2 linked regions of the Alligator mississippiensis genome follow. The protein of the gene in region 1 interacts with the protein of each later gene in a biochemical or structural test. Links are inferred from orthologs where the notes say so. Each region holds a gene or a part of one and is shown on either strand. Other genes may lie near its edges.

The links.
Region 2: the proteins of RRM1 (region 1) and RRM2 form a complex in vitro, tested with the Homo sapiens proteins (3 studies listed by BioGRID and IntAct). The link is inferred for Alligator mississippiensis from reciprocal best matches to the Homo sapiens genes RRM1 and RRM2.

What each region holds. Positions count from the first base shown.
Region 1 is NC_081824.1:481,570,621-481,587,380, forward strand, and holds the start of RRM1 (ribonucleoside-diphosphate reductase large subunit), read left to right. Parts: upstream 1-8,209; 5' UTR 8,210-8,300; coding exon 8,301-8,319; intron 8,320-9,059; coding exon 9,060-9,148; intron 9,149-11,105; coding exon 11,106-11,283; intron 11,284-12,222; coding exon 12,223-12,323; intron 12,324-13,086; coding exon 13,087-13,146; intron 13,147-14,705; coding exon 14,706-14,745; intron 14,746-15,582; coding exon 15,583-15,745; intron 15,746-16,742; coding exon 16,743-16,760. UniProt on the Homo sapiens protein: Provides the precursors necessary for DNA synthesis. Catalyzes the biosynthesis of deoxyribonucleotides from the corresponding ribonucleotides.
Region 2 is NC_081824.1:30,484,766-30,500,657, reverse strand, and holds the start of RRM2 (ribonucleoside-diphosphate reductase subunit M2), read left to right. Parts: upstream 1-8,575; 5' UTR 8,576-8,628; coding exon 8,629-8,724; intron 8,725-8,813; coding exon 8,814-8,891; intron 8,892-9,009; coding exon 9,010-9,156; intron 9,157-10,994; coding exon 10,995-11,111; intron 11,112-11,692; coding exon 11,693-11,826; intron 11,827-12,730; coding exon 12,731-12,825; intron 12,826-14,806; coding exon 14,807-14,940; intron 14,941-15,403; coding exon 15,404-15,508; intron 15,509-15,651; coding exon 15,652-15,765; intron 15,766-15,892. UniProt on the Homo sapiens protein: Provides the precursors necessary for DNA synthesis. Catalyzes the biosynthesis of deoxyribonucleotides from the corresponding ribonucleotides. Inhibits Wnt signaling.

The sequences.
Region 1 (16,760 bases):
TCCAAGGAGATGATACTTCCCCTCTATCGGGCGCTGGTCAGACCGCAGTTGGAGTACTGCGTGCAATTCTGGGTGCCGCACTTCAAGAGGGATGTGGATAACCTGGAGAGGGTCCAGAGAAGGGCAACTCGTATGGTTAAGGGCCTGCAGACCAAGCCCTATGAGGAGAGACTAGAGAACCTGGACCTTTTCAGCCTCCGCAGGAGAAGGTTGAGAGGCGACCTTGTGGCTGCCTATAAGTTCATCACAGGGGCACAGAAGGGAGTTGGTGAGGTTTTATTCACCAAGGCGCCCCCGGGGGTTACAAGAAATAATGGCCACAAGCTAGCAGAGAGCAGATTTAGACTGGACATTAGGAAGAACTTCTTCACAGTTCGAGTGGCCAAGGTCTGGAACGGGCTCCCAAGGGAGGTGGTGCTCTCCCCTACCCTGGGGGTCTTCAAGAGGAGGTTAGATATGAGTATCTAGCTGGGGTCATCTAGACCCAGCACTCTTTCCTGCCCAGGGCAGGGGGTCGGACTCGATGATCTATTGAGGTCCCTTCCGACCCTAACATCTATGAATCTATGAAGATGGCCTGCAGGTCTGTGAAACAGAAGAGACATGTTACCAGAAGGAGCAATGGGCTCAAGATGCAGCAAGGGAAGTTGAGGTTGGATATTAAGAAAAATTTTCTCACGAGGAGGGTGGTGAAGCACTGGAACAGTTACCCAGAGAGGTGGTGGACTCTCCATCCTTGGAAATTTTTAAGCCCTGGCTAGACCAAGCCTTGGCTGGGATGATGTAGTTGGGGCTGTCCTGCTTGGAGCAGGGGTTTGGACTGGATGTGACCTCCTGAGGTCCCGTCCACCCTCATTTTCTATGATTCTATGATATTGACTATTGAAGCCCATTACAGATTCCACTTTACAGATGGGAAAACAAAGGCAGGGAGAAGACAAGTGACTCACCCAGAGTGATATAGTGAGGCTGTGACACAGAGCTGTAGTTTGCCCACTGCATAGCATACTCCTCCTTCACATCGGTATTTAACATGAATAGAAATTTCCTTGAGAAAGTGCCACGAGGCAGGACGTTGTGATTGCATTGGAGAATCTCTTATGGGTATTTCCTGTACAAGTCCACCAAAGGCATCTGTTCGCAGCCCACACGAGGCTGTGGTTGGAAACAGACATTGATCTATCCACTGCACTGCACGAGGCTATAGAAAACAGGATGTACTGTATGCTGGGAAACACCACATATGCATGGGATTGAAATTTGTGTCCTAGTGTGTAGGTGGCAGAGTCGGTCAGGCTTTTGGGATTTCCTCGCCTCTGAGTGCTCGTCTGTGAAATCTCGTTAAACAGAGGAACAGTCTAGGGTGGTGCATGTGTCCCTGTGCGTGGCTAAGAAAAGGAGAAAAATCCTGCACCGCCACCCTTGCGAGGTCCGGAGGAGGGAGACCCTCCAGTCTGCCCCAGTGGATGCTCAGACAATCCTGACACAGCCTCTGTATACATGGGCGGATCTAGGATTTTAAGAAAGGGAGTGCAGAAGGTGAGGGGCATCGTCACATGTAAAAACACCCATTTTTCTTCAGTTATAAAGAAACTAGAAGCATTACTAATACACTGAAAGTGGAACAAGCCATCCAGGTGGCCAGGAGGTGAGACAGAAAGTGCTCCATGGGATGAGATGCGGCGTGGCCTGAATGAGGCAGGGCTCCACACTCGGAAAGCAGTGGATCATGGTGACATGTGCATGGCCTGCTGAATCCGTTTGTGGATGTTTCGCAAGGCCAATTTGAGAGCAACAGCTTGTCGTAAGTTTAATGGATCCAGGTGTTGTCTGAGTTGGAGTTCAAGTTTACAGCTTGCTGCTTTCTTCTTCCTCGCTTTGCTTCCCTCCTCTGGATCAAAGCCGCTTCTTGTTGAGCTGCCCCCATGCCCCAAGTTCCCCCCATACCAAACGGGATCCTGCACAATCAGGATCCAGCTTTCTATGTTGATGTTGAACGACTTCATATCATTTTTGCACATGTCGTGGTACAGCCGCAAAGGGCAACTCCACTTTCTCTTGAATCTCACTGCACAAAATAGTCTTGGGGATACCGTTTCTTCCCATTCTCCTGATATGGCTGATCCATCACAACCCCCTCTTCTTGATAGCAGCTTCTAAGCGTGTCAGTCCTGCGTGCTCCAGTACCTCTGTGTTTGGTATTCTGTCTTCCCAACTTTATTTTCAGGATGTTACGCAGACATCTCATATAGAAGCTGTTCAGTCTCTTGATGTGCCTAACATCTATCTCACATGTATCTTGATGGGCCTAGCATTTGGTCTCAAATATGTGTAGTGTATGTGGTCCTTGTTTCTGAACAATAAAGCAGGGATAACAGCAGACCAGTCTCATAGATTTGCATTTGCACCTTAGTTAATAGTTTGCTTTAACCCAAACATGTTTCTGTTTAGCTGCTTGTCTGATTCTGTTAGTCAAAATAACATGCATATTAAAATGCCCCACGAAATGAGTCGGGACACTACTAGCTGCAGAGCACTGGATTGTGCCCACCGTGTCTAAAGTGTGAATGGTGGGGTACACACTTACCCAGTCTGCCTGCAATCCATACGCTGGACTTGCTGTGTAGCGGCAGGGCTGTTCTGATATAGGAGGCGGATGGGAAAAGAAAAGAGGCCGCTGCAGAATAGGTCAGATCACACCCACGCAGAGCCTCTCCTCTCTCCTGCTGCAATAACATGGAAAGACAATTCAGCATAATACTTCTCCGAATCAGGGCCAGGGAGCTCCTGGTCCCTCTGGGCGGATGCGGCAGCCTCAAGTGTCTGTCGTGCACACATCAGAAATAAGGAATGTGCTCTGAACAGTGCGGGGGATTAACTGCTGGAACAAACTACCCTGGGGCAGACAGGGCTTCCTCAGCCAAGCCATCAAGCTGGGCTGCAGGGTGGACTGGGGGACTTTGCAGCTTGGAGGAGGCAGGGGATTCAATCCCGTCAGCTTTCAGAAATGACTTGTGTTCGCTTGGTTGAGGTGTAATTTTGTGCTCTCATCAGGCACCACAAAATGAACCTTCTGGTTGCTTTTATTTTGGAACAGCGACATCTCCTGCCCACTCTGGTCCATGACAAGAACATTATCTCCAGGTGACATTGCAGAGGGCTGCAGCCTCAGAAGCGCTGAGCCCGCTGATATCCATGAGGTTTGCGGGTGCTCGGTAGGTGCATCTACATGAGATGCTTACTGCGCAGTAACCTAAGAACACCAGGCAATAGTGTGCCGGTCAAAAACCATGCTAAGAAGCTACTGGACAGTGTTATCAGGCTACTGTGCAATAAGCGTCATGAAAAAACTGCACCGACATTACTGTGCAGTAACTATAGTTACTGCGTATTTAGTTAGTACCTCATTAAGCATGTACTGAACTACACGAGCAGTAATGAACATGTAGACGCGCCCAGTGTCTGTGAGAGACAAGCCCGCTCCACCCAGAGCAGGATGGGACCTTAGTTACTGTGGCCTTGCACAGCAAACTCCCTGCAGCACGTTTTGATTGGAGGGCTGAGACCCTGTGCCAGGATCTCAACCTGTGATCCCTCCCAGCATTGCACGCTTGGTCTTTAGACCCCACTCTGCAGCTGCTTCTCTTATCCTAGAAGTATCTCGGGCTGGGCATTTGGTGTAGTTACCTAAAAAAACAGCCGTTGCAAATCACCCTTCCCCAGTACGGGGTATGGGGCCTGCGCTAACACATTGTGAGACGGGACATTTGCGGCAATGCCCCAAAGGGGAAAAAAGGGGGTGGGGGAGAGGAAGGGGCAGGAAACTGTGATAATGAAGAACATAAAGAAGTTTGGGGGGGAAAATAACCATGATTTATCCCACTGCCCACTCCAAGCTGCAAAGTGCCCCGGTGAAGGGAAGCAAGCAGCAGCAAACAGCAGTTCCAGAAGCATCTCCACTTCCCGGGGCAAAGACCGGGCAAAGCAGATCCGGCAGGGACAGGACTTAATTGAGACTGCTACCATCTTCCACAAGGCCCCGCGCAACCATCAGAGAGCCACTGTTGCTGGAACCAAGTTGGGCTTTGAACAGGGATTTAATCATTCAAGTTGGTGAGCTCCATGCTCCTTCCCAATCCTTGCTGAGGCCAGATCTCCGTTGTCCTGGCTTTATTCTGCTTCCCCAGCAAACCTCACAGGGAATATCCGTATCTGAACTTTCTTTAGCTCCAGACTCCCTGCCATACACCACCACTTGCCCATTTAGAGCTAAATCCAGAGCAATTCATGCATTTAATTAGCTGATGCAACCGCTCTGCCTTGCACATGTGTATTTCTCTGGCATGTCAGGAGCTCTGCAAGTATTTTGTGGGAGTTTGTATCTAGATCCTCATACAACCCATCTAAGTCCCAACAAGCAGAAAGTACCCATCTTATCAAGGTCTAGTTTCAGCAGCTTTGCTTAGGAAGGTGAAAGATATAGAAAACAGAACAGATCAACACACAAACTAATGCAGCAGACTTCTCTGAAAAGTCGTGCTTGAGACTGAGATCATATTCCCCCCATAGCAAAGTCTCCTACTAAGCAGACAGCTCCATCTATATCTGAATTACTTGCGTGTCCCCCAGCATTCTTGCAGAAATAAACCTCCTCCACTAGGCTGGGGCTGCTATCTAGGCTGCCTACTCCAGGGGAAAAGTGGAAGTTGGCCCCACAAACCTGTTCTGTGGGAGAAAAAGGAAGTAGAAAGAGACCTTCCCCTTTACTGTCTGTGGTAACTTCCATTTTATGGCATCTTCTGTCGCACGGTGATATTTCTGCAGTCACACAAGGCCCAAATCCTGGTAGGTGCCACTGAGGTTCATGGGTCTGCTGAAGTGACTGAGGCAAGATCAAAATCAAGGCAAGCAGGATCTGACCCCTAAAAGTAGTCTGGGTCTGATTGTCCTGTACCAGCCCACACCTTGAGAAGTCATTTATGCCTGGGCAAAGCGATGCAAAGACGAGTATAATGCCTTACATGCACTTTCCACAGAGATAAAGTGCTCTGATTTCCACAGTGGAATCGGGTCATTCTGAACAGATCCGCTGTGCTGCTGAAGCGCTGCGCTGAGCAGGGAGGGAGGTGAACCTACGCTTCCTTGAATCGAGGCCTCAATAACCAGGTGGCAAAATACCGGACCCTACGTCTCTATTTCTTTCTTGCTCAGATCTTACAAAGTGCTGGCTACTTATAACTTCCATTCTTCATCCCTCACATGGGAGAGGGAAAGGCCTGGGACAGTCCCTGCTCCAAGGACTTCAACTTTTGTATGACAAAAATGGGGTCCGTATCTTCATCTTTGTGTGCTTTGGCGTTTTCGTCCATTCAGGAGCTCTTGGCCGTCACGGATGTTACCAGGGATCGCTATGTGGTCGAGTCCCCTTCGAGGACTGTTTGCATGGGAACCCAGGTCTCCCCTGTCCTAGGGCTTAAGTCATCTCCACCTTGCTTTTCTCTGGCCCAAGAAATCTGGAATTTCTTTTTTGCAAAGCAGCTCAGCCTGATCAGGAAAAGCAGTATATACAACAGGATGAGATAGGAAGCAGAGGAGGGTAGCATAAAGCACACAGGGACATCAACGAGGCAGAACATGACAACAAAAATGCAGAGCTAGAAAGGTCCTCAAGAGAGTATCCAGTCCAGGCCCCTACACTAGATCCAGTAGATCTAGGCATACATTGGCTGGGATACTGGGGTGTACACTGCTTAGCATGCACAAGTGGTTGGGTCCTTTGTTCCTATCTTCTTCGGAAAGGAAAAGTACTAGCAGCAGCATGTCCCCTAGCAGCCGGTTAGGGCGCTGGTTGGTTTCTGATTCAATTGAAAACCGCCAAGCCCTGGCTCACTAGCACCACAAGCATCTTTGAAGATCCCCAACTCACTCCTGTTCAGTGTGCAAGAACTAACAGGAAGCCTGGTGTGAGACTGTAGGCCTCACAGCACACTCATATTAACGATGTGACATGGGGATTTTTTGGAACCAGAATGGGTTTCAGGCTCTGATAGTTGCAATGCTGTGAGCACTAAGCTTGCGGAGGAAAGGACACAGTATTCAGTCAGCTGAAGCCCACACTGTGTTCGTAGATCTTCCCCTTCCAGCTCCTTTGCACTGTGTTTGACTGGGTCTTCTTTGAAGGTCTTTACAGTAACACATGAGGATGTTTTATTTTACAGCTTACGGGTTAAACCGTGGCAGAGGAAACCCAGCCTCTCTCCTGAGGTGCGACCATGCTCGGAACAGAACGATCAAGATCAAAAAGACCTCGATGATTTTGGAAAGAAACGAAGCAACAAAGACGAGAACTTCCTCTGCAGAGCTGCAGCGTTACCTCGCATCTCGGAGGTGGAGGGCAGGCTGCGCAAGCACGTTCCCACAGTTATTTCCAAGCTGGCTTCCACCGTGCAGTTTGCTGCGTCCACATCGGTCCTTCCTGATTGCCAAACCTGAAGGCACACCAAGGGCTTTTGGTCACCAGGCTCTTTCTGATGGCCGAAAGGATGCATTTTGACGTATATAGCACTTTGCACCCCAAAGACAGCGTGCTTGCTGTGAGGTTTAAATGGCGACAGAGTCACTGCTGTAAAAAGCATGCTCCTTCCGTGTCTACCACTAGCTCCCTTTTCTCCCCGAGATCAGTCCCAGCCGCTTGTCCACCATTTTAAGGCCTTTCACGACCCATCTCCGACTTAATCCTCCCATCTAACAGCGCTATTGAGGCACCGATCCTTGTCTCCCCTTCGTCATCCACCTCAGCCCTGACTCTGCATTTGTCAAATGTGCCAGCAAGTCACTTGGCACTGTTTTCCCAAGCTACCTAAGCGAGGGAAGATTCGCTTAGATATGAAGAAGTTTTTCTAATATCTTCATATCTAAACTTCCTCAATAGGAGGGTGGTGAAGTACTGGAACAGGGTCGATATCCATCCGTCGAGGTTTTTAAGACCTGGGTAGACAAAGCCTTGGCTGGGAAGATGTATTTAGCGGCGGTCCTACTCTTGAGCAAGGGGTTGGACTGGAGATGCCTCTGAGGAAGGTTTAAAAACACCCTGACACGTTGTTTGGGATGATGTAATTGGGGCTGGTCCTGCTCTGAACAGGGTGTTGCACTCGATGTCTATTGCCCTCATTGCCTACGAGACGTTTGGGAGCAACCGCGTGATGTTCGCGACCTCCTCGGTTGCACGCGCCTCCGTTCGCCGCATCCGCCCCGGCTTCTTGTCGCGATAGCAAGCGCTTTAGAAGAAAGACCACGTCTCGTCCGGGAGGAGAGCGGCGCTTCCCGCGCGCAGCCCCTTCGCGTCTCCGCGGTCTCTGGGTGCCGCCGGCCGCTGTTACGTAATAACGGCGCTACTTTTTTTTTGGGAGGGAAATTGCGGGACGGACGCTGTCGAGTCCTCGGGTGCCATCTGCTGGAGAAACGGAAAGAAAACGTCAGGCGAGCGATGGATTCGGTCGCACCCGGCAAGGAAAGAAACTTCTTTATGACGTCCTGCCGGTGTGCGGGGGGGGGGGGGGGGGGGGGGGGGCTGCGCGTGCTTATGGCGCTTCGCAAAAGAAAGGTGACCGCGTCCCGGCCACCACGGTGGACAGTGTCCTGCGTCACATGTGCTCACCACAGGGGGGGGGGTGTCTCCCTCCCCCACCATGAACCCCTGCCCCCCCACATACTTCCCCTCCTCCACTGGGGCACCCCCCCACCCCCATCCCCCCTGGAAATTGCCCCCCCACTCCCCCCTCAAGGTCTCTGCCCCTCCCCCCAACCCCAGGTAAGCCCCCCCCCACATACCTCCCCTCCCCCCCTCAGAAATAACCCCCCCATTCACCCTTCCCCCTCAAGGTCACTGCCCCTCCCCCCACCATAGAGACCCCCCCCCCCTTCCGGGAATCCCCCTCCCCCACATACCTCCCCTCAGAAATTGTCCCCCCATCACCCTTCAGCGGCTGTGGCCCCGCCCCGCCTCTTGGCCCCTCCCCCCGGCGCGGCCCGCTCTCCCCTCAGAGGCGGGCTCGCGGCCGCCATCTTGGAAACGGGCACGCGGCCTGCCGGGCTGCCCCCGGGGCGGGGCCGTGCGAGAGAGTATTGATAGGGCAATGGGGACGGGGAGGGGGGGGCGCTGCCCGCTTCCAAGATGGCGGCGGCCGCGTCAGGGAAGGGGCGGGGCGAGGCGCGCTACGGCGGCGGGGCGGGGTCAGCGCGGCTTGGCGGGAGCGGGAACCGCTCAGACCCGCGCACCCGGCCCGGCCTGAGACGCCGCCATGCACGTCATCAAGCGAGGTGCGCCCCCTCCCCCCCCCGCTAGACCCTGGGGGGGGGGGGGGGCGAGTGGGGCAGCCCGGGTCCCTGGGGGGCTGGGGGTGAATGGGGTGGGGGGTATCCCAGGGGGTTAACGGGGGTTGTGGGGGGTTCATGGGGGTTGGGGTGGGTGTCCTGATGGGGTCTGGGGGGAGGGGTATCCCAGGGGGTTAACGGGGGTTGTCCTGGGGGCTTAACAGGGGGTTGGGGGTGTCTTGGGGGGCTGATGGGGGTGGGGGTGCTGTCCTGATGGGGTCTGGGGGTGTCTTGGGGGGCTGATGGGGGTGGGGGGCTGTCCTGATGGGGTCTGGGGGTGTCTTGGGGGGCTGATGGGGGTGGGGGGCTGTCCTGATGGGGTCTGGGGGTGTCTTGGGGGGCTGATGGGGGTGGGGGGTTGTCCTGATGGGGTCTGGGGGTGTCTTGGGGGGCTGATGGGGGTGGGGGGCTGTCCTGATGGGGTCTGGGGGTGTCTTGGGGGGCTGATGGGGGTTGGGGTGCTGTCCTGATGGGGTCTGGGGGTGTCTTGGGGGGTTGATGGGGGTGGGGGGCAGTGTCTGGGGTGGGGGGGGGAGTTGTGGGGTGCCAGGGCATTGGACTGGTTCCAGGTAGTTGATGGGGTGGGGGGCACTGGGGTGGGGGGGTGTCACGCCGTGCTGCATTCGGAGCAGCGTGTGCTAGCGCCCGTCTGGGCGCGTGTCTGTCTCTTCCCCGGCGCCGCGCAGATGGACGCCACGAGCGCGTCATGTTCGACAAGATCACGTCCCGCATCCAGAAGCTCTGCTACGGGCTCAACGCCGACTTCGTCGATCCTGTGAGTCTGCTGGTCGTACCCCTCCCTCCATCCCTCCCTCCCGCGGTTGTTATAGACAATAATTTGCTGTTAGAAATTTGCCCCCTGGCTTTGCCTCGGTTAGCCTGCATGGAAATGGGTGGAAAGCACCTTATAAGCGACCGCGGTGCTGTGCCAGATTTGGGGGATCTTGTCGCGGTGCCTCGTGCCTGTCCGCCACATCTAACTGTTCGTCTCTAGAGCGCTGATCCTCAACCAGGACGCTGGGCCGTGACACGCTGGGTTAGCACGGCAGACACGACTCCCAAAATCACCCGGGAGATTTCAAACAGGAATCCGTAGCGTGAAAAACATCCCGCCCTGTTGTGGGCTTGCTGAGCTCTTTGCAACAGGAGAATCGCCCTTGTTTTTTGTCTGTAGTCAAAAACGACAAAGGAAAATGAAGAGCTGCCCTTTTCTGAGGGGTCTGAAAACATTTAGGACCAACTATTCTAATGGAAATAGGGGTCCAGAAAATGCCACCCCGAGGGTACCAGTGACAGATGTCACCTGGTTAAGGCAACCACCTTGTCCTTTCTTTCCTTTCGTAGCCCAATCCTTCCACATGTTTGCGTTTTGGCTTGTTCTCCTCCATAGGTACAAAGTCTGAGAGGATACATCTATGTTTCCCTGCTATAAATTCCTTCTCGTGGGTCCCTCAGATGCGGCTTGAAGTTTCTGGTGCTAAAAAGCAGAAAAACAAGTTCCCTGCTACTCCATTTCAAATGTCTTATTTCCGTTTGTTAAAATGGTGTAACGAGTGCTTTAACCTTTAAAAATGTGTTTTTAAACTCCTGCCGCATTTGCCTCCGTGAATATGTGGAAGAGAAGCCCTTGAATTCTGTTATTAAAGTAAAAGGTATACCCTTTTTTTCCCCCCGAACTGAACCACCCTCTTATTAAGATATGTGCTCTGTTCTGAGCAGTTTGACACTGAAAAGACACTGACCTGATTCGGCAAAGTGCTCTGCCCTGTACCTGTGAGATCTGTGGGACCGTGCGAGCCCTCCCACGTGGAGCAAATTGCAGAATTAGAGGCCCCAGATCAGAGTCTTTTTGGGCCATAAAGGTCTTGTCTTTATGTGCATCTGTAAAGCACCATCATAGTAGCGGTGCTGTAGTAGCAGTGAGGGGATAATGTTCTTCAGCTTTATTGAACAAAGCTTTGCAAAGAGGACAGAGCCTCATTGACTCCTTTGTACATACAGCCCAGGAAACAGCTGTGTGCAGAGGTGAGCTGACTTGATTGCAGTCGTGCAGCAACTTGTTGGCAAAGCTGGGAATTGGGAGTCGAAGTCTCCGGACTTCTGGCCTGGTGTCCATATGACTATTAATAATACTGAAATTAATTTTCCGTGACTTTTTTATTCTGAGGTAGCTCTGAAGTTCTTTGTCCTGAACCATGGTCCTGTTAGGTTGGGTTTGGGACAAACTACAGCAGAAGAATACCTGTGCCTCAAAGAACTTGCAGTCTAATTCAGGGTTTGAAAATGCCAGCCTGTCCTACCCAGGGCAAGTGAGCATTTCAAACCTGCAGAGGACAATTCTTGCACTAGATCACACTCGTATTCGACCTGATTCTGAATCCTGTCTCATAAGAACATACATAGTGCCATACTGGGTCAGACCACAGGGTCCACCTAGCTCACTATCCTGTGTCTCACCGTGACTAAGAGTGGACGCTAAGGGAAAGGGTATTTAGGCTGATTCTTTCCAGACTGATCTGTCCCCTGCCTCTTTCCCCCTACAGATTCCAGCATTCAGAGAAAGGGTTGCAGCTTTAAATATTGTACTTAATACCCTCTATCTAGGATGCTGGTCTTGGATAGTATCCACCACCAGCTGCCTTGGAAGAAAACACTCTAAAGATGTTTGTGTGTCTAAACTCTAAAGATGTTTTTATTTCTGTTGTTAACCTCCACATTTCTGATTTCCCCAGGCTCAGATCACCATGAAAGTGATCCAAGGTCTTTACAGCGGTGTTACCACAGTAGAGCTGGATACACTGGCTGCGGAGACGGCTGCGACCCTGACTACCAAACACCCCGACTATGCCATCCTGGCAGCAAGGATCGCAGTCTCCAACTTGCACAAAGAAACCAAGAAAGTGTTTAGTGGTGAGTGCATGTTTGAGAGTGCTTCGAAACAGCCTGTGCTCTGTTCATGAGGAGGGAGTCAGAAACGGGTTGGGAGTGTAAATATGGCAAACCATTCCTTAAAGTGATTTGGGCCTGGGATGGCCAGACCTCCTCCTCTTCTAGCCATAAAACCAAGATCCTGACGCACCATGGAGCTGCAGGACACAGCTTCTGAGATGCGCATGCCTTGGAGTCAAGAGCACTTGGCTTGTTAGCAGGGTTGCTTTGAAAAGATTATATTCAAGCATTTCTGTGTTAAAATCAGAATGCCTTCACTTTCCTTGGCTTTTTCCCTCACTTTCAAAAATAAATAAGGGTGAGAAGAAAATACATTTAAATCATTTATATTACTTGTAGTCTGGTGCTTTCTGATAATGGCTGAGATAAGCGGGGAGCTATCTAACTACTACTGGATACTTTGTTTGTCTAGAGGTTCTTTTTTAAAAGTAAATTATTTTGGGACCAGCAGCTTCTGAGTACTGGATATTCTTGCCACTAGACAGAGAGGACAATAACCAGGTTGATGTCTGTTAGATGGTGTGCATGCATTTATGGAGGGGGTGGGGGATTGCTAAATAGAATCATAGAAAATCCATGAGGATTGGAAGGGACCTCAGGAGGTCACATCTAGTGCAGCCCTCCTGCTCAAAGCAGGATCAGCCCCAACAACATCATCCCAGACAAGGCTTTGTCTACCCGGGTCTTCAAAACCTCCAAGGATGGAGGCTCCACCACCTCTCTGGGTAACCAGTGCTTCACCACTCTCCCAGTGAGAAGATTTTTTCCTAATATCTAACCTAAACTTCCCTTGCTGTAACTTGAGACCATTGCTTCTTGTATATTAAATACCTGTAATTAGTTTTAGACTGTACATATTTTTGGCTTTATTTTGACCGTCTGTTTGTATTTCCATTGCAGATGTGATGGACGATCTATACAACTATATAAACCCTCACAATGGCAAGCACTCCCCAATGATCTCCAAGGAAACGCTAGACATAGTCTTGGCCAACAAAGATGTATGTTGCACTTCATTGAATTTAAAGATCTGAAGAATCAGTAAACTAGTTTAAAAGGCTTAAAACAAAATAAACTGGGTTGATTTCTGGAACAAAAATCCCTTTATGCTGATGGAAATTAACATAGATGATGACTGCTGTATTTTGAAGGGTTTGTAGGGGAGGCCACTTCAGAGCTGCCCTTGAAGGATGCTTCCAGTGTTGCTATAAGCAGGATATCTGTTGTGGTTTTGGTATGGCTCTCATCACTCTGGGATTGGGGCATGTGGGATCTACAATTAGTTGGACAGAAAATGGCTTTTTAACTTAATAAAATAAGATTCCATCTTTTCATACAACAAACTTTCAAGGAAAGAGATGGTGTTTGGTCTCTATCTTCTGGCACAGCTCTAACCAACTCCATGAAACCAGAATTAGGGTGCAGTTCTCCCACCCCCTGCATTTCCTAGTATCCAGCTTGAGCTCTAACTGGAATGTAGGTGTATGGATGAGATGGGCCAGAAGGTAGTAGTTTGTCTTTAGAGAAATGTTATTAATGCCTGGCAAAAGAAATTGAGATTTTATGCTAAGAATGACTTCTCTAAATTTTTTTTCTGCCTGGTGCCTATATCTGTTCAGTTATGAGGCCAGAAGCAGAAAAATCAGGGGCACTGAACAATGAGAGCACTGTGGTATCAGTAATGTGAGACTGCAGGCATGATGAGCGGTACAGATGATCTCCTGATTAAATGATTAATCTGTCTCCATACTCTCTCTTCCTCAGCGCCTGAACTCTGCTATCATCTACGACAGAGATTTCTCCTACAACTACTTTGGCTTTAAGGTAAAGAGCAGGTTTCTTACAAGAGTGAATCTACGCCGTTGTTTATTTTCAAGCCATGTAACCACCGAAGAGTAAGACCCCGCAGAACCATCACTTCAGAAACTCAGCCCTGGGATAGATGAGACAGTGGGACTGTGGTAGAGACAACGTCCTGTATAAGGCAGTAGCCAAAGTGAATGAGTTGTGCCCTTTTCCTGGTTGTGCATTACAGTCTCAATGCAGTCAATATGGTGCCCCCCCTCAGTCCTTCGAGTATATGATTGGTTAGCATGGGGACAGAAGGGATTGACAGCAGAACCATTTCAGGAGGGAGCAAGCCTTCTGCCATAGTACACCCAAGAGTATGGTTGCTATCCTGTGCTGTGGGCAGCTGTCAAATGGAGCTCTGGGCAGTAACTCAGCTTTGCAGCATTTCTTTGTGCGTGCTGCCCTCTGTCCTGCTTCTGTTCCGCAGCGCTGCACTTGCATGTGAATCAGCCACTTCTTTTTGAATTACCTGGCAACAGGAGACAGGCCCAGCATAACCTGAAGCTACTGTGAGGGAATGTGGGGGAAGGGGTTTTAGTGGGGAGCATGTAACCGAGCAGCAGGCTGACGACAGTTGCACGCCTGAGCATCTATTTGTGATGACTCCAGAGCCTACTTGCCAAATGGCTTCTCTCCTATAACAGGAAAAATGCGGTTGTTCTTGATGACGAAATTCAGTTCTCTTGGCTGGGGTGACTGTAGTTGATCCCAGTTTAGGGCTGCAGCCCCTTTGGCTCCTGGCTGCCATGTGTAGTAAGACATGGTCAGTAGGATCTTGTGCAAAGCTGTCCACAGCCATCTGCTGCCATGTTAATGCTAAAAAAAATAACCAAAACCCAAATAGATCAGTTCTTAGCATTCTCCATTGCTCAGCACAGCCTCCTCTGCCTGCCTTATCACTCACTGGTGCCTTTTTCCATGCTGCTGCTGAGAGGATCCCACCCCAGCTCTGCCTTGTCTTCAGCTGTTTTGACAAGTACCTCTCTAAAACACTTCTAAGAGTGGCCCAATTTTATATTATTTCCAGCTGATGAACTTGCCTTTTCCCCCACTCCTCATTATAGAATGAACATGATTTGTGCCACCATTGCATTGTACATGTTCAGACAGTGCCCAACATTGGCCAACTGCTAGCACTCCTGTGACAAATGTAATGACGGGATTGGAAAAACCACCTGGAGGGGTGGAGCGGAGAACCAAGCACTCTTTCCCCCTAGCAAAACTGGGCTGAAATTAGGCAATAAAGCTCACCGTTCAGTCATTCCTTTACATGCATTCAGCTGGAGAGACTCCTCTAGGCAGGCATCTTGCTGACTTGCACTTAAAGTACCTCCTATGCTTGGGTTTGAATCGGGTAAAAGACGGAAGAGCAGAGTAGGCGTTAGCAGGTGTTGAAGTCTGGGGGCAGGAAGGCTGAGCTGCAGGTGTTTGGTTGGTCCCAGAACATGAGTTTTAATCAGTCAGGTTTTTAAATGGGGACCTAAACTATTGGTTACTGAAGGATTTTTCTTTTTCGTTTCTTTTTTATAAAGACTCTCGAGCGCTCCTATCTGCTGAAAATCAATTCAAAAGGTAAGAACTGGCTGTGGTTCCAATCTCCCCTCTGTGGAGAGTGGGATCAGAGCAGGTGGTGAAATGGGGTCAGGCCATGTCCTTGCTGCTTGCTGAATACTCAGCTGTACGTTGGCCTTCAAAGGCAGCACCCACACAGCACCCTTATAGTTACCTTGTCAGCATTATAAAGCTTTGCCTTTCCCTCCTTGCTTTGCGCATGCACATATCCTTCCTGAGCACCTGTTGGTAAAATCAGTTAGAATCGCTTTTTTCATAGCTGTAAGGATACTTGCAACTGCACTAAGAATGCAGCACTGTTACCAGCTGCTAAAACCACTTGAGTTTGGTTTGTTTTGTTTTAAATAATGTCCGTGGGGTTTCAGCGAGGGACACTTCACTGATGCAGCATTTGGGCCCCGTTGCCATGCCATACTTGAGATCTTAGGGCACACAAGGCACTGTTCTAGCAGGCTGATAGCGACTCGCCACTTGATGTGTGGGAATTTTTAAATTGACATGGCTACCGCACCATCTTATGCTGCAAATTCCATTGGCATCAAGGTGGTGAGAAGTTTATTATTATATGTAGAATCTAGAAAGTGCCTAGCCTTGGAGTCTGACAAATTTAATATAGATTACAAAAAACTTGTAAACCTACAGCTAGTGATTCAGCTTGCCAAGAACTTTTTCCAACTACTCAGTTGGTCTAATAAAAGATATTGCATCTACTCAAAGAACCTTGCCTTGGTAGTGTAAGTCACTTACTTCTTTGGCATAACCCATGCCTGTCCAGGTGGCTTTAAATGACACACTGTTCTATCTCTTTTTTTTTTCTTCTCCCCTTCTACTTTCTAGTTGCAGAGCGTCCCCAGCACATGCTAATGAGGGTCTCTGTGGGCATCCACAAAAACGACATTGATGCCTCAATTGAAACCTACAATCTCTTGTCTGAAAAGTGGTTTACCCACGCCTCTCCCACTTTATTCAACGCGGGCACCAACCGGCCTCAGCTCTCCAGGTACCTCAGGGTGTCCAGCTTGCTTTATACTAGGGATGTCAAATACCATTAGCCCTTTGAGCTGGATCTGGACTGACCTGGTTGCTGGGCAAGTAGCGACAGCAGCAAAGCGAGCAACATCAAGGAGTCGCAAAGGTTAACACAGCTATTGCTCACCCTTCTGCCAACGTGTGACCCCAGTGGTGCTTTGTATACCAGAACTGAGCAGCAGGCCTTGTGTCCAAATTTCCGGCCCCTTTTGGAGCTGTGTGGGCCAAATGATAGGGCTCCGCAGGCCATATCCAGCTCATGGGCTCTCTCTTTGACATCCCTGTCTTATAAAGTATTCTGAAGAGTGAGAAATAGGTGTGCAGGGAAGCGTGTTCTACTCAAGTGAGGTATTCTGTCATCGCTTTTAATATGGGCAGCTGCATTTCGTCAGTGCGTAATTAATATGTAACTTGTGCAGTAAAGAATTTTTCAAAGCATGCTGTCTAGTCTAATTGGGTTCCAAATGTAGCCTTTTAAAAAAGCCAGCTGCTGTCAAAGCCTAAGACTAATAGACATGTTTTTGCAATTCATTCCCTTAATTCCAGAGGAACCGTGGTTTACACGCTCATATTTTTGCAGTGTATGAGAGCCTGAAAGTGAAACTGACCTGAACCAAAAATGAAATTCATTCTGGCTATTAGCTATCCATTGTCCAAGCTATGACACTAAAGTCACAAACATACGTGATGAGAAATAGGTGTGATTTTAAAAAATGTCTTGCTTTAATAATCCAAGTGATGAGGAGTGCAGGTAAAAAAAAAATCAGCTTTACTTTAAGGAAAAAAATAGTTACCCTATTGGAAGTGTGTAACTTCCCTGAAATGTGGGCTTTGTTTTACTGTGCAAGTTGCATAGTGTTCTTTGCGTCACTTACCCAGTCATTGAAATATTAAAGATTGCAAAGTGTCTGTCTGCTGCATAGGGCCTTATTCAGTCTGTGTTTTAATCTTCTGGTGTCTCCATTCAGCTGTTTTCTGCTGTGCAT
Region 2 (15,892 bases), about 450 Mb from region 1:
GTGCAAGCCCCCTGGCAGCTCCTGTGCTGACATTTATTGCCAGATTTTTCAAAAAGGGCTCTGTGTCCCTGTGGGCTGAGCATTTACTTTGGTGTCCAAATGAAAGCTGAATTCTTCTGAAATGTCTGGTTCTAGCCACAGATGGTAGCCTTCATTTGAAAATGTTTGTCATAGTCAAAGGTGGTGGGGAGCTGCTTTGCACCTTGCGTAGTGGCTGTGCCCAGGGCAGTGCTGGCTGCCGTGATACTGGTGGTGGTGGTGGCATGTCCAGTCACTGCTGTGGTGGCTGCTATTTTTATGGCCCCTTCCTCCATTCAAAGGCATTCCCTGGGGCTGCTGACCTGGCTTTCCCTGTGATTTATGCTACTGGCCATAGCATGTGGTTGCACTGAACAGAGAGTAAGTGCTCTAGGTCAAGATTAAAATGAAAGTCTTCTCCCCCTTGAGAACTACACAATAGGTAGTCTTATGGATGGAGCTGTGTCTGCATTATGGGGACATAGCAGCCCTAGGTGGCATTTGGCACGATTCTGTGAGCTTTGTGATCTCCGTGGTCTTGGAACATGACAGAGAATACACTTCGATGCAGACTTTCCCTTCAGCATATAAACACTAGACTGCATTGTCTGACTGCACTGTCTGACTGAATTCAATAAAAACCAAGCTCTGTTGGCTCAGGCTGTGAAAAGACCACATCTCGTACCCGGCTTTGCTCTTCTAGCAGAAGGTAGTTTTGTCAGCACCATGGCTGTCATTTGGGGGAGCTGGTATAGCTATTGCAGCAGAAAAAAACTCCTGCCAGCAGCAGTGCATCAATAGCAGGGGACTGGGTTGCCATAGCATCACATCTGATGAAGTGAACTTGAGTTCGTGAAAGCTTATGCTCTATATGTAGCTTATTTAGTTAGTATATAAGGTGCATGGCTACCCTGCCTTCTGCCATAGCACCATCACCATAACTTTTTTTGTATGACAAAAAGTGTCAGCATCTTAATCTTGGTGTGCTTCGGTGTTTTTATCCATGTGGGAGCTCTTGGCCATCAGAGATATTACCAGGGATCGCCACATGGAAGTGGCTCTCGTTGACTCCCATCACCATAACTAAAGCAGCAGGAGAGTCCTGTGTATAGATAGAGCTTGCACTTTTATTCTCCTGCAGAGACAGCTCTGACAATTGCAGACTGTGGCAGCACTGTAACCTCATCACTGAGGCTGCAGTCCTCCCCCATAACTGGGTTGTTTGTTTTCCTCCTCACTGCTGTCCAGAGTTTGGGAAACTATTGCCCTTGATGCCCTTGATTTTGGAGGTGTGCCAGCCAATGAGTGATGGCAAGCAGCAATGCTTTGGATGTAGCTAAGACTGTCTGTAAGCTTCCTGGCACAAAGGTGGCAGGGTGGGTTAGAGCTGCATGCACTGCAGTGGGTAGCAGTAGATAGTGTGAAAAGGGTGAGGCTGTGTATATGTTATGCAATATTCTCATGTGAAATTGTAAATTGGTTTGAGATTCCTGGAATCACTGGGCTTGGGGGGGCGGGGAATATTGTAACCACAAACTTCAATTAAAACTGAAGTCATGTACTTGCTGGGCTGGGGGGAGGGATGGGAAGGGATGACTCTTTGGTTTCACCACCGATACCAAGCTGCCTAGTGACCCTGTTGCTTGTCATGACTACAAAAATCAAGCTGTTGGCTCTCTTTCGCTTTCTTCAAACTGTTTTATGTGTAAAAAGGCTGAGGCCCCGCTGTCCATGGATCCAGCTGCTCACTTAGCTCCCTTTGTTTCTTAAACTATTTGTCTGGTGGCTCCAGTATTGTGAAAGAGGTGTCATAAAGGGTGTATGGTTATAGACATAACCCTGTGAGTACTGAGGGCTCTCTACTCCTATTGACTTCTTTGGGCATTTAGGATTCTGAGCACTTCGTAGCAGTCACACAAGCCAATGCAGAATTGGGCCTAAGGCTTGTGGGTCTATGTTAAGAAAGTGCTTAAGAACCTGTATTTAGGTCAGATGGAAGCCAGTAATGTTTAAGCCATTCTACCCATATAGATACTTATTGTCAGCATTAAGCACTTAAGCACATTCTTGATTTTAACAAACTGAGGGCTGTATGAGCCAAATTCATTGCTGCTGTAACCCTTTGGTAACCCGCTGTAACCCTTTGGTGACACAATGGAGGGCGTTTCCTGACATATGTCATTTCAGTGATCAAAAACACACATGTATGTATGTTTAACCTTGCTACTGTATCACTCTAATACCTCTTAAATCCCAAAGTCCATATCTATCTATCTATCTATCTATCTATCTATCTATCTATCTATCTATCTATCTATCTATCTATCTATCTATCTAAGTCTTCTCTGAATCTATCTATAATTATGTTCATTTGGGACGTTTGTTGGAGGATTGACGCATCTCTTTCATCATATTTGGAAACAGTGACAGACCACATCCTCTCAAAGGTTATTCATTTTTAATACTGCAAGTTGTCATGACTAAACTCTTTTGAGTTGGGGGAGGAGGGGGAGTCGGAGAGAGGAAAATGTCACTTTTTGAATAACAAAGGCAATATATATTTTGTAAAACAATGCTTCACAAGCTTCTAAGTTCATTGGTAAACTGGTGATTGTGATAATTTTACTGGGTTATGTAAAGAAAGGAGAAGGGCCAGCAGAAGCTTGAATTCAATTTTAAGCTCTAGGCTAGGTTGTCTTATGTAGTTGTATAAGAACTGAAAAAGTATGCTTAAATTTTCCCTAAAGGAAGAAAAGAAGCATGCACCTGAAAAAATATGCTGCCTAGTGCATAGCATGTACCAGCTGTAATAGTGTCTCACACTAGTTGAACTGTCCTTTCAAGAGTGTGGGATGGTGCCATGCAATGTTAATACTGTTAGGTGTGTAAACATGATTCACAAGATAAACCCAGGTTTTTCAAAGAGAAATCCATAATGTTAAAAATATTCTGCCAAAACAGGGCGGAGGGTGGGGAAGGGGGTGGAGCAGGGTCAGACCTGAAGCATGGGGAAGGAGGGGTAATAGGGGGAGTGGGGTCAGACCCGAAGTGGCACCCAAAAAGCACCTTGTTCAAATTTGCAGATGAAACTAAGATGTGGGGAGAAGTGGGCACACTAGAAGGGAGGGACAGGCTGCAATTGGATCTGGACAGGTTACAGGGGTGGCAGATGAGAATAAGATGGGATTCAATAGTGCAGGTTACTGCACCGAGGGAGAAAGAGCCAGCAGCATACCTACAGGCTGGGGAACTCCCTTCTTGTCGGCACAGAGGCAGAAAAGGATCTTGGAGTCACTATTGACTCCAAGATGAACATGGGCCGCCAATTAGGGATGCAGTCAGGAAGGCTAACTGTACCTTGTCATGCATCCACAGATGCATCACAGGCAGGTCCAAGGTGATCCTCCCCCTCTATACGACGTTGGTCAGGCTGCAGTTGGAGTACTGCATTCAGTTCTGGGTGCTGCACTTCAGGAGGGATGTGGACAACATGGAGAGGGTCCAGAGGAGGGCCACTCGCATGGTCAGGGGGCAGCAGGGCAGGCCCTATGAGGAGAGGCTACGGACCTGAACCTGTTCAGCCTTCACAAGAGAAGGCTGAGAGGGGATCTGGTGGCTGTCTATAAACTGGCCAAGGGAGGCCAGCAGGCAATGGGAGAGTCCCTGTTCCCCGAGCACTACTGGGAGTAACAAGGAATAATGGCCATAAGTTGATGGAGATAGATGGAGATAGTTGATGGAGTAGATTCAGGCTAGATATCAGGAGGCACTACTTCACTGTCAGGACAGTTAGGATCTGGAACCAACTTCCAAGGGAAGTGGTGCTTGCTCCTACCCTGGGGGTCTTTAAAAGGAGGCTAGATAGACACCTTGCCAGGGTCTTTTGACCCCAGCATTCTTTCCTGCCCATGGCAGGGGGTCGGACTTGATGATCTGCTCAGGTCCCTTCCAACCCTACCAACTATGAAACTATGGACATGGGGCTTCTTCCCTGCCAGCTCCCTTTCCTCTATCATTCTTGATGGGCAGTTTGCTAGTTTAATAATAATACATTACCATCAATATTTATTACTCTTGCTCTGCATTGATATAAAATTCCTTGGCTTTGCCTATATTAGGGAAGTTCTACTGCTTCAGCTACAGCAGTGGTACTGAGGCAGTTTACTGTGTGGGTCTTTTAGCAGATGGGAGATTTTCTGCTGCCACAGCTACAGGAGTTCTCCCTGTGTAGAAGCTCTGTACATCCACACTGAGGCTGTATCTGCACTGCGGGTTTTGCTGGTGAAGTTATATTGGCTCCAGGACACCCTTAGCTGACGTAGTTCTGCTAGTAGAACATTGTGTGGCAACAAGGGTCTTGTCTGCAGCCTTCCAGGCTCTGCAAAGCTCTGCAGTTGGGACCTTTCCAACTACAGTTTATGCTCTGGCCGCTTCTCTGGCTGTCGTTTTCTTCTGCTTGTGATCACTTGCTCATTCTACCCTTTAATCCTTAACTTCCACAGTGTCACACTCCCTTGCTTCTGAGAAACCTCCATTGATAGTTGCCTTCAGTTCTTTATTTCTTTCTAACTATTTTCAGGTCTTTTTCCCTTTCTAGCAGCTGTCTGTTTAAAAAAAAAAAAAAGGGGGTGGGGAGGGATATGTGAAAGTGGTGTGTATATACACAGATGATCTTCCACCAAAACAAGTCTTCCCACCGGAAACAGCAATCAGATGGGAGGGAGGAGAATAGTGATTTTCTTCCATGCTCCAGCATAAACCCAACTTTTGATACCAAAATTTAAAAAGAAATTTGGAGTAGATGCCCTGATCCTGCAAAGATCAAAGCAGGTCTATCTTCTTCTTCAGCAATCCCTTGCAGTCTCAAGGATGATTGATTTCCATGATTGTTTTATCTGTGAATCTGAAGACGGCTGATGTGGCCAATCTAGGATTAACAGACTCTGTTGCAATTTGGGCATATCCTTCTGTGTAGGGTGGGTGGCTACAGATTCTTGATTCAGCCCATGACGCACTATTTATGCTGTTCCCTCTTTTCCACATCTATAACACATAGGGAATCTACTTTTAGACCCTCTAGGATGAAGTTAAGCACTTGCTTAAGTCTTTGGAAGATGTAAGCTGTTAATTCTCTCTTCCTCTTTGGCATACTTTGTTGGGTGTGAAATGGATGCCACTGTTTATATTAAATTAGGTCTTGAGCTAACCCCCAACTAAAATAAGGAAAACAGTTCTGTGAACTATTTCAGGCTGTGTGTACCTCAGCCAGGCCTCATCTTTGTGGGGAAAGTTGTTCTGGTATATCAGTATGTGTCTATGTGAAGAAACGACTGGTATAATTTTAGTGGTACACCTGCTGCACTATATTTACACTGGTGGAATATATGTAGCAGTTCCCAGCCTGAAATGATAGTACAGAACGCCGTGTGCATATCAATCGGGTCTTTTCTGCAGGGGAAATATTACACAGGTATAACATAAAGGGCTTGCCTACATGAGGATATGTACAGTATAATTATTCTGCTATAATTATACCAGTATAACTCCCTACATGGACATTCTTAGCTGGAATAAAAATATGTGCCTGGGCAGTCACAGCCATATAACTGTAGGGATATAATTATCCGAGTACATTTCCTCATGTAAGCAAGGCTTTTCAAATATATATTTAAAACAATATAGTTAAAACATTACAAATCCCTTGTGTAATCTAGGGATATAAGGATGATATAAGGAGGGCTTTTATTGTTTTAGCTTGAGTTAATTGGGAACAAATTTAAATGAAAAAAAAGACTGACTTGATCTACTCTTTAAATCATAATTCATTACAGGAACAGCACTGATTCAGTTGTAGTAGTTTAAAAGCAAATTTAAGTTAAACCCGTAAAACGTGCCCATCTTGACAAGGCTTTGGACATTCCTGCTTCAGTAACATTCACTCTGAAGGTTTTTCTTTTTTGCAACCACCCACACACACTTCTAGACTGCTGATTCTGAACCATCTACTAATTAAATATATTCTAATTGATGCCAGTACATACATCTCTTCTCTCACTGCCACCTTTTCATATAGTATTCTGTAGTCAGTCCTAGTTAAAAAAAAAAGGATGTAATTGTAATAGAAGTGATCCAGAAACCAGGAACAAAAATCATGAAACTTATGAAGAGATTTCAATAGGAGCTGGGAGAGGAGTCTTTAGGATTGTAGGCTGGAGAAACGATGAACAAGAAAGGATATGATAGCTTTGGAAAAAAAGCAAAACAAAAGTACATTTTTTGTCAATTCCAAAGGTTCAAAAATCCTGAGTTAGTCCTCCCCCCAGTCAGTGAGGTTTGTTTAAAAAAAACATATATTCATCTGCATAGTGATTTTTGAAGCCTCCCTGCTGCTCCTGTGTGTGATAATTAATTACTGTTTTTAGTGCTCCTAAATAAGGGGTTTTTTGTCCCTGCTATAAGAGGGCCAAACCACACATTGGTGTTGTCTCCCAGCAGCTCTTGGGGCTCTTCACCCTCACCTTTTCCCCAGGCTGGGAAGGGGGAAGCAATATACTATGTCCTCCCCGCCTTCCTACACTAGGTCCCATTCCTGTGCTTACTGGAGTGTGAAGGATTAGAGGATTCTTTCTTTTCCTTTGTGCTTATATTGTGGCCTCTTGAAGGCAGGGAGAGAGTACTTCCTGCAGGAGCTGTGTTGGCTGCTGTGAGAGGCTGTTTCCTCCCAAGCACCGCTGACATTTAGGTGTGGCTGGAACTTCTACTGTGGGAGACCTGCTCCTGCCCTGCCAAATTCGTGTGCAAAGAATGCACAAGAGCTGGCAACAATTGTGCACGGCCTCAAGCAGGGTCTCTCATTTTCCTTTACAAAGAACAGAAGGGCATTCAATGGGGAGGTAGGAGTTCTGAAGCATATAAAAGGAAACCTCTTCTTACACAGCCTGTGTTTATCAGTGGGAATCATTGCCACAGAATAGAATCAGCTCTTGCCTTGAGCAGGGGCCTGGAGTAGGTGACCTCATAAGGCCCCTTCTGGCCCTATTTTTGTATAATCCTGTGGTTTCAGACCCAGGGCACTCTCAGAAAATGCCAGCTCCTAGTTGTCACTCTTTTTTGACTTCAGAAAAATACTAGAGTATTAGAACAGCAAGACATTGGAATAGCCTGCCCAGAGAAGTTGTTGATTCTCCCATGAACGACTGGTGCCTCCTGAGACAGGGGGGCATCATTTGTAGGCAGTAGCATCGGCGGCGAGGGGGGAGGGAATGGGGTGGTGAGTGGTGATCACCCACAGAAGCTGGCAGCAGCCAATCTCAGGGGGGGCACATGTCCCCCCCCCCCCCAACGCATCGCCTATGGATTCTGTCACTGAAGGTCTTCAAGAAATTGGACAGCCACAGGGCCAGAGCTGATCGAGGCATAGCTATGCCTATATTTTACTGTGGGTATCTCCTCTACTTCTGAACTTTGCCCTGCCCTCCCCCAGCCCCCTTTCTGCTACATGTGTGGGGATGTTTTCAAGCCTCCCTCAGAGGCACTGGGTGTTGGCTACAGCCAAGGCTGGGGACTGTGGGGCGTGCCAATGCTCCTCCTGGGACCAAAGCCAGAGGTTCCTGGCTAGATGGTCTTGCCCCTCTGCTCATGGTCAGACCACTTACTGTATTTGGGGGCAGAAAGATTTTACCCCATAGTCAGACTGGCACAGACTGTGGGTTTTGGGGTTTTTTTAGCCTTAATTCAGAGGGGGGGGGGCAGGGGTCTGTACCCCAGATCTCTTTTGAGCATGTGCTGAAACACATGAAATACACTGAAATACTTCAACTAGATTGAAATAAATAGAAGTAGGATTTTGGCTGCCAGGGGTTCCCCTGCTTTACCTGCAGCAGGTGAGGGCATTAGTTTGTGTTGTGTCAGGGCTGAGCAGAGTTTAGATTATGACTTTATAGGATGGCTGGGATGGCGGTGATGTTGCCTCAGGCAGGGGGCCAGACTGGATGAGCTCTGGAGGTCCCCTCCACCCGACTTCTCTAGGACTTGATGAATTCTTCTGTTGCCAAGACCCCCAGAAAGCCCACAGCAGACGGATGGGCAGAACACGGATTCCTGTGTGCAATCTCCGGGTTTGCCTGGAGTTGTGTCTCTGCACCCGACCCCGCTACCAGCTTGTGGCATCGCAAGCCCCAGGCGCCGTCTAATCCCCGTGTGCTGGGGACCGGGACTGGGACGTGGACCCCTCCCAAGCTCCGCGCTGCGGGCCTGGCCGTGGGGGAGGGGCCATCCCGAGAGGCGACGCGCCAGAATTCGCGCGGGAAGGGGCCGCTTGCAGCTCCCGCGGTTGTTCTGTGCAGGGGGCGTGGCCAGGCCAGCAGCTCCGGCCAATGGCAGCGCGGAGGGGACGGGCTTGGCCCCTCTTCCCGCGTTCATGTACAATGGAGGGCGTGGCCCGGCGGCCACTCGGACCAATGGGAGCGCAGCTCTGAGGCCGGCTCGCGCTGCCATTGGTGGGCGCGGCGTTCGGGCGCCAAGTTCGAAGGGGGATATAAAGGGTCTCGGCCGCCGGCGCCAGTTCCTGCCCTGCGCCCTGTCACAGCCGCCGCCAGCAGCACTAGCATCATGATGCAGCCCGCCCGCGCCCCGCTCTCGGCCCGCAACGACCAGCCGCGCCTGTCGCCCATGAAGCACCTGGCGCTGAGCGACAAGGAGAACACGGTGAGTGCCTGCCCCAGGCCAGCCGGCTTCGGAGCCGCTGCCACCGCCCGCGCCCTGCTCATGCCCCGTTTCCCCTTCTCTCCCCGCAGCCACCGACGTTGAGCAGCACGCGGATCCTGGCCAGCCGCGCGGCGCGGAAGATCTTCCAGGACGCGGACGCCAAGCCGGTGAGTGCGCCCCCTCCCCACACGTGCTCCGTTCCCGCCAACCCCCCCCCCCACGTGCTGTTTTCCCGCCACTTCTCGCTGCCACGGCCCCCCGTGACCTTCCCCGCGTGTCCTGCAGGCGCCGCCGGAGCCCGTCCCGCACCGGCCGGAAGACGAGCCGCTGTTGCGGGAGAATCCGCGCCGCTTCGTCATCTTCCCCGTGCAGTACCACGACGTGTGGCAGATGTACAAGAAGGCTGAGGCCTCCTTCTGGACCGCCGAGGAGGTGAGTGCGGCCCGGGGCATCAGGCAGCTGCTCCCGGCAGTGGGGGCGGCAGCCGGGATCCCCACTCAACACAACTGGGCTCCTGATAGCACCTACCCAGGGACCAGACAATGGCTTTAAAGTAGCCCTGTGGCTTTAAAATGATCCCCATGGCAAAACCCGGGGGGCCGCAGGGGCTTGGAGGTCTCCAATACTTTGATCTGTGGGGTATCAAGCAAAGGAGGCTACCCTGTTGCTGTTCCTTCCAGGGTTCGCTTCTTGCACTCAGCTGGCTGCCTTGAATTTTTCATTTGAGAAGCGCTCAGGTGCATGCACCTGGTGTCTAGTTACATCTGTACATATACACATGCCTAGACACCAGCACCTGAGCACTTCTCAAGTGAAAAAAATTTAAGGTAGTTGGAAACTTCATTGCAACTTGCTATGGCTCTAGGGCAGGGGTGAATAAAATACAGCCTACAGGCTGGATCTGGCCTGTCAACTTATTGGATCCTGCCCATGGACAGGCATCCACCAATTCAGTTGTATCCAGCCTGGCTGCCCCCCACCCCTGCGGCCCTCTGTGTGGGGTGAGTCCTGCCCATTCCTTCCCCCCCACCCACCAGGCAGCACCATCCTAGCCAGTGTGCACAGTTTCACCCACAGAGCTGCTCCTGGTGTAGCTGCAGCTGCCTGGGTGCTGCTTGATTTCCCACCTATCTCCTCTTCCACCTGCCCCTGTACCATTTTGTGGGGATGCATGCTGGGCAGCAGATGCCCAGCCAGGTGTGGGGGAAGCTGCAGCCTGGTGGCTCCTGCCCCAGTGTGTAGGGCTTCATCTCCTAGCTGCCTTCCATCTACTTCAATTGCCTGGCACAATGAGCACCCTGCTAGGCAGCTGACTAGATGGAAGGCAACCTGGAGTTATAGTCCCACATGTTGGCATGGGAGCTGTAACTTCCCCCTTGCTGGCTACATGTGTGGTGCCTCACTGTTTGGAGCAGTGCAGCAGGAGGAAGAGCTGCTGGACATAGGGGGCAAGTAGCACTGGGAGCAGCCCTGCTGGGAAGCTGCGCACACAGACCTTGGCAGTGCTATTTGGCAGGTGGGAATGTGGCATGGGCTGCCCTGGGCAGGAGTAGGTGGGGCTTAGCCCCATGCAGAGTGCCACTGAGGCAGCCTAGTGGGGGAGGGGAGGGTGACGTGTCTGCAACCTGTCTGGACGAGCTCTGTTGCATGCCCTCCACACCCTACACTCGCCCCACATGCCTACTCCCTCACATGTCCCTGAAAGCTTGCAAATACTTTTTGCAAATATCCAGCTGGTCTAATAAGATATCACCTCTACCAAGAGTTCTTATTCCTTCTTGCTTGTAGACCAACACTGCTACAACTTGTACACCCCTCCCCCCCTCCCTTCACAGGCACCTGCATACCCCCCCCCACATACAAGAGTGAGACTGTTTTTGAGCTATACTTTTAGTACACATAGAGGTGATTGCATAATAAGTCAAGGCAAAAATATTTTTTTTTAATTAAAATTAAAGTGCAGTAGATGTTTGGTATTTAGGATCTGATCTGTTAACTTGTTAAAATGATATCGTCTGAAATATTTATGCAGCCTTTGACAGCTTACCAAAACTCATTAGGTGGCCATGCAACTGAAATAATTGCCCACCCCTGTTCTAGGATCACACCTCTAATTTCATAACTGTTTTTTGGGGGCGGGGATTATAGGTTGAAGGAAGACTGAGAATGGGACCTAATGGGTCTAATGCAATATATTAAACCCCAAACCCTATATTTTCCAATCATGACAATGATGAATTGCTGCCTGTTTGGTTTTTTTTGTTTGTTAGGTGGATCTTTCAAAAGATATTCAGCACTGGGAGTCCCTCAAGCCTGAGGAGAAATACTTCATATCGCATGTCCTAGCCTTCTTTGCAGCAAGTGATGGCATTGTAAATGAAAACTTGGTGAGTGTATGAAGAGCAGTCCTGTTTAAATCGTAAGCAGTTGGGCTAGCGTGGAGCTAACCAGATAACAACATAAGATGTTTACTAACGGACTGCTCTGCTCCAAAACCTATTAAACACTTCTGGGTTTGTTTGCTTTTTTTGGAAGGAGGCCTTGTTTTTTCCCTAAAGCCAGCATTGTTCCTTAGACTAGAATCTGCATTTTTGGCAGTAAACTTCCCTGATGAGTACAAAGCAGAGTTTTTGTTTTTCTTTTTTTTATAAAGAGAATACAAAGGGTTGGAGTAGATTGGGTTTTATTCTTCATTCGGTCACTAATTCTAGTTTGGCTTTTAGGCAGATCACTCAGTCTCCAGATCTCCTCCTTTTTAAAATGGAGGCACTTTTCTGGGACACAGAGCCAAAGGAATGCTGGTATTCTAACTTGTGTTACCAGAATAAGTTCTGAATATTGAACTATCCTGTCTTATTCCTAGTTATCGTGACTTACTTAAATATGCTTGTGTGGATTCATAGCTCTGTTGCAACCTGTAGTTGGTTGTTATTTCTATAAATGTTTAATTATTCGGTTTCTCCTTTAGGTGGAGCGTTTTAGCCAAGAAGTGCAGATCACAGAAGCTCGCTGTTTTTATGGCTTCCAGATTGCCATGGAAAACATTCATTCAGAAATGTACAGTCTGCTTATCGACACTTACATAAAAGATCCAAAAGACAGGTTAGTATCATATATCGTAAAAGGCTTAATTATTTTAAGTGGAGGCAAGAAAAGATGGAGAGGTCTGATTTTTTTGGAAGATAGTAAGTTAGGATGGTCAAAGCATTGGTAAACATGGTTGAGAACAATCTGGTGGTAGAGCAGGAAGGCAAAACATTATGCAAACAGAATTTGTCAAGTATAAATGACAAGCGATGGTAAGTTGAAGATGTAGGTAGAACGTTCAAACTATTTTGTTTATGCTGTAGAGGACTAAGCCTTCATTGCATTAGCCAGTGAACAGATAAATGACCCAGTACTGCGTTTCTTTGAGAACTACAACAGCTCTTTTGACTAAATCTCCACTTTGGTACTGCCTTTCAAGGTAACTGAAATATGTGACACTTTGCTGAACTATTTTTAAACCAGTAGTTTCTAATGCAACAAAGCACACATTCCTTTTTGACAGCAACATGTACATAAAGCTTAAAAACTGCCATCCAAAGAACAAGTTCCTTTTTGAAAACTGGTGATGTGGAAATGGGTTAGCTCCAAGACTATCAGTCTAAAAAGTATTACAGATTGAGCAATTAAAAAAAACAACAAAACAAAACCCCACAGCAACAACAAAAACAAAATCCCCCACAATTTTAAGGCTAATTTCAAAGCCATATTGCTGCCTTGTGTGAGGACTGACTGTTGCATTGAAAACCCTGGGTAAATGTGCTCAGTTGATCGGCCAGGATGACAGAGTTGGAGTGGTACAAAAATCTCAGCCCCCAAGGTCTTTACATTTAAAAATACATCAGCTGCAGGCAGTTAAAGCTGCTTCAGTGACAGCACTTTTAATGACAACTCTTAGCAAATGCTTATTGAATAGTCTGCCATGTAGACTTCTGTCTAATGTACTATACACTTTCTTCAGGGAATTTCTTTTCAATGCTATTGAAACTCTGCCATGTGTTAAAAAGAAAGCTGATTGGGCTTTGCGTTGGATTGGAGACAGAAAAGCAACATACGGTGAGTGCAGTTTTGGAGTATGCATTTCCTGGATATTGAATGTCATTCCCATGCAAGCCTTCAGTAGTGATGTTTCCTCCAAGCAGGGGTTGTCAACAGGGTATGTGTACCCCCAGGGGTACTTGAAGGCCCTAGGAGGTATGTGTAGACGGACGGCTGGGGACAGAGCGCTTGCCACCCATCATTCCACACTGCCGCCTCCCAGGAACAGGGATGAGGGCAGCGGCGCTCCTCTGTCCTCTGGCCTGCACAGGTACCAGCTGGACATGGGGAAAGAAGCTAGCATGTGGTGGCTGCTGCTGCTGCCACCCACCACCCTACACTGCCCCTGGTGGCTGGACATGGAGCCACTGGGGTACACTTTTTTTTTTAAATAAGTTGAAACCCCCTGTACTAGAGGGATAGTGTAGCCATGAAGGTCAAGAAAATAGCCAAAAAGTTGGTTTTTTGTGCTATCTTTTATTGGACCACCTGTGTCATCGGGAGAGATGTCAGACAGGCTTTTGGGCAATCATAGATAAATGGTGCTGGAAGGGAACTCTGAGGGTCATCTAGTCCAGCCATCCTGGCCAAAGCAGGATCATCCCTGGCGTCGGCATCCTTGTCAAGTGTTTGTCTAAGCTGCTTTTAAAAACTTCTAAGGATGGAGATGCCCACAGGCTCTGGGTAAACCTGCTTCAGTGGCTAACTTGCTTGCATAGTGAGAAATTTCTTTCTAGTCCTGTGCCCTGCAACCACAGAATAGTCCATCTTCTTCACCTATATAATCACCCTTAAGTTATTTGGGGGCTATCAAATCCCTCCTTGGTCTTCTCTTACCAGGACTAAATGTTAGCGGTTTTGTTTGTTTGTTTTTTGTTTTTGTTTTTTGTTTTAGTCTTTCCTGGTAAGTTGTTTCCCAGACCTCTGGTCACTACTGTTGCTCTCTTCTAGATTTTTTTTAATCTTGAGGGTGAATAATTGCTCTAAATCTTAAAAGTAGCTTTATCAAGATTAGATTAGATTAAATTACCTTTGTTCCTTCTAATGTGCCACTGAAGCAGCTCCTTTTGTGAGTGTTTGAGGGATTTTTTTGTTTGGTTTTTATTTTTTTTTTGGCATTTTGACTCCCATTTTGCTCCTTTGTGACAACCCTGCCATAGCTGCTGGTGTATTCAGCAGCTGCTCTGCAGGGGGTCTAGCTTTATTCCTCAACCAGTCTAGAAAGGGTGATTTTTTTTGCTTCCTTGAAGGATTTAATTCATGTTTTGTATGGGTTCTTGAGCTTCCCTCTACTTTCTTGTCACGTCTTTCCCCAGGAATACATCTTTCCTCAAAAGTTAGTTGGATGCTTTCATGCCTGTTGAGGTTCTCACTTGCAGGATGAGGATGTGTAATCACTAGAGACCACAAACACTATGCATGGTAGCAGTTTGGCCCACCTCAACACTGAGTTGTCAGCTATGCACATCGTGGGGAGGGGAGGAAAGGTCTGAGCTTCAGTTTCACAGGTTTTTCACACAGTGAAATTGCTATTTACCCAGGTAGATTATTTTAAATACTATCTGTCTTAGTGAAAAAACAAGGGGTTTTGTTGAATTTTTATTAGAGCAACTGTGGAGTTTAAATCTCTCTCAACAAGTTTTGGGTAGAAAGTTTTGTCTCTTTCCCAGATCTGGAAACAGCCACTTTGTGCTCAAAGGTTCCTCTAACATCTTTTCCAACTCTGCTTGCTCCTATGAAATATGCAAGAACAACAATTTTTGGTGATATTTCCTGGACCCTTGCAACTATAACGACACCCCAGTTTTTCTAATGAAGTAAAGGTGTAGAATGCGTCAGTCCCAGAGAAAACTACATAACACTAACATGGCTATGGTTTCCATCTGTGAATGAAAAAAAATTATCTAAGTTGGTACAGGCCAATGTATTGCTTTGGAGGTATAATAACGGTAAATTTTCACTTTGGCATGAAATGTAAACTGAACTTTTCATCTGACAGGAGAACGTGTAGTAGCTTTTGCAGCAGTGGAAGGAATCTTCTTTTCTGGCTCTTTTGCATCCATTTTTTGGTTGAAGAAAAGAGGATTAATGCCTGGACTCACTTTTTCTAATGAGCTCATCAGTAGAGATGAGGTAAGAGCTAAATGAAGTTTACTATGTACCACATTTACTAACAGTGATGACAAAGGAGTTAAGCATATGCTTCAAGGCAGGATCACCCCAAGCTTTATGAATAAGGCAGGGCAAGGTGGCACCTTAGAGACCAAGTGACTTCACACTAACAAAGATTTATGAACTGACTGGTCCTGAAAAGGGCAAAGTGTCTGAGAATCATTTAAGGTAGTAACTAATGACACTTGCTCAGTGGCTTTCTTGTGTTGAATATGCCTTTAGTTCTAAGCAGGTACCACAAGTAGGGAAATACTAAGTTAGGTTAGCACTCAGTGCCATGGAAAAAGTTCCGTCTGAAAATAGCTCTAGCTGCCAAGGCTTTGGGTACTGGGCTGATGCCTGGTTCTTGGGTCCAGCGATGTGCTGCTGATTTGAGTGGCTCTTGTAATCAGTGTTTCTGAAATAACTTGAAATTCCTTTCCAGGGCTTGCACTGCGATTTTGCCTGCTTAATGTTCAAGCACTTGGTGCACAAACCTTCAGAGGAAAGAGTAAAAGAAATCATCTCCAATGCAGTCATCATAGAGCAGGTATTTGGCCCTTTCTTTTAGTTGACAGATGTTAGCCTATTTTGGCATAAAGCTGAAAAGCAGTTGGGGCATAAAGCTGCCCTGGACAGCAATGTGTTTGTAAGTCTGAATGCCTTTTGTAGCTAACTTTCTGTTACCTGCAGGAATTCCTGACTGAGGCATTACCTGTAAAGCTGATTGGCATGAATTGCACTTTAATGAAGCAGTACATTGAATTTGTAGCTGACAGACTTATGCTGGAACTGGGATTTAGCAAGGTAAGACTTCTAGGCAGCATCTTTAATACAGGGTCTCATTCAGTTCATTGTTCCCTAAGACCACTGAATAACCAAAATGGCTGCCACCATCCATTTAACCTGGCCATCTCTTGATCACTGGGTTGCT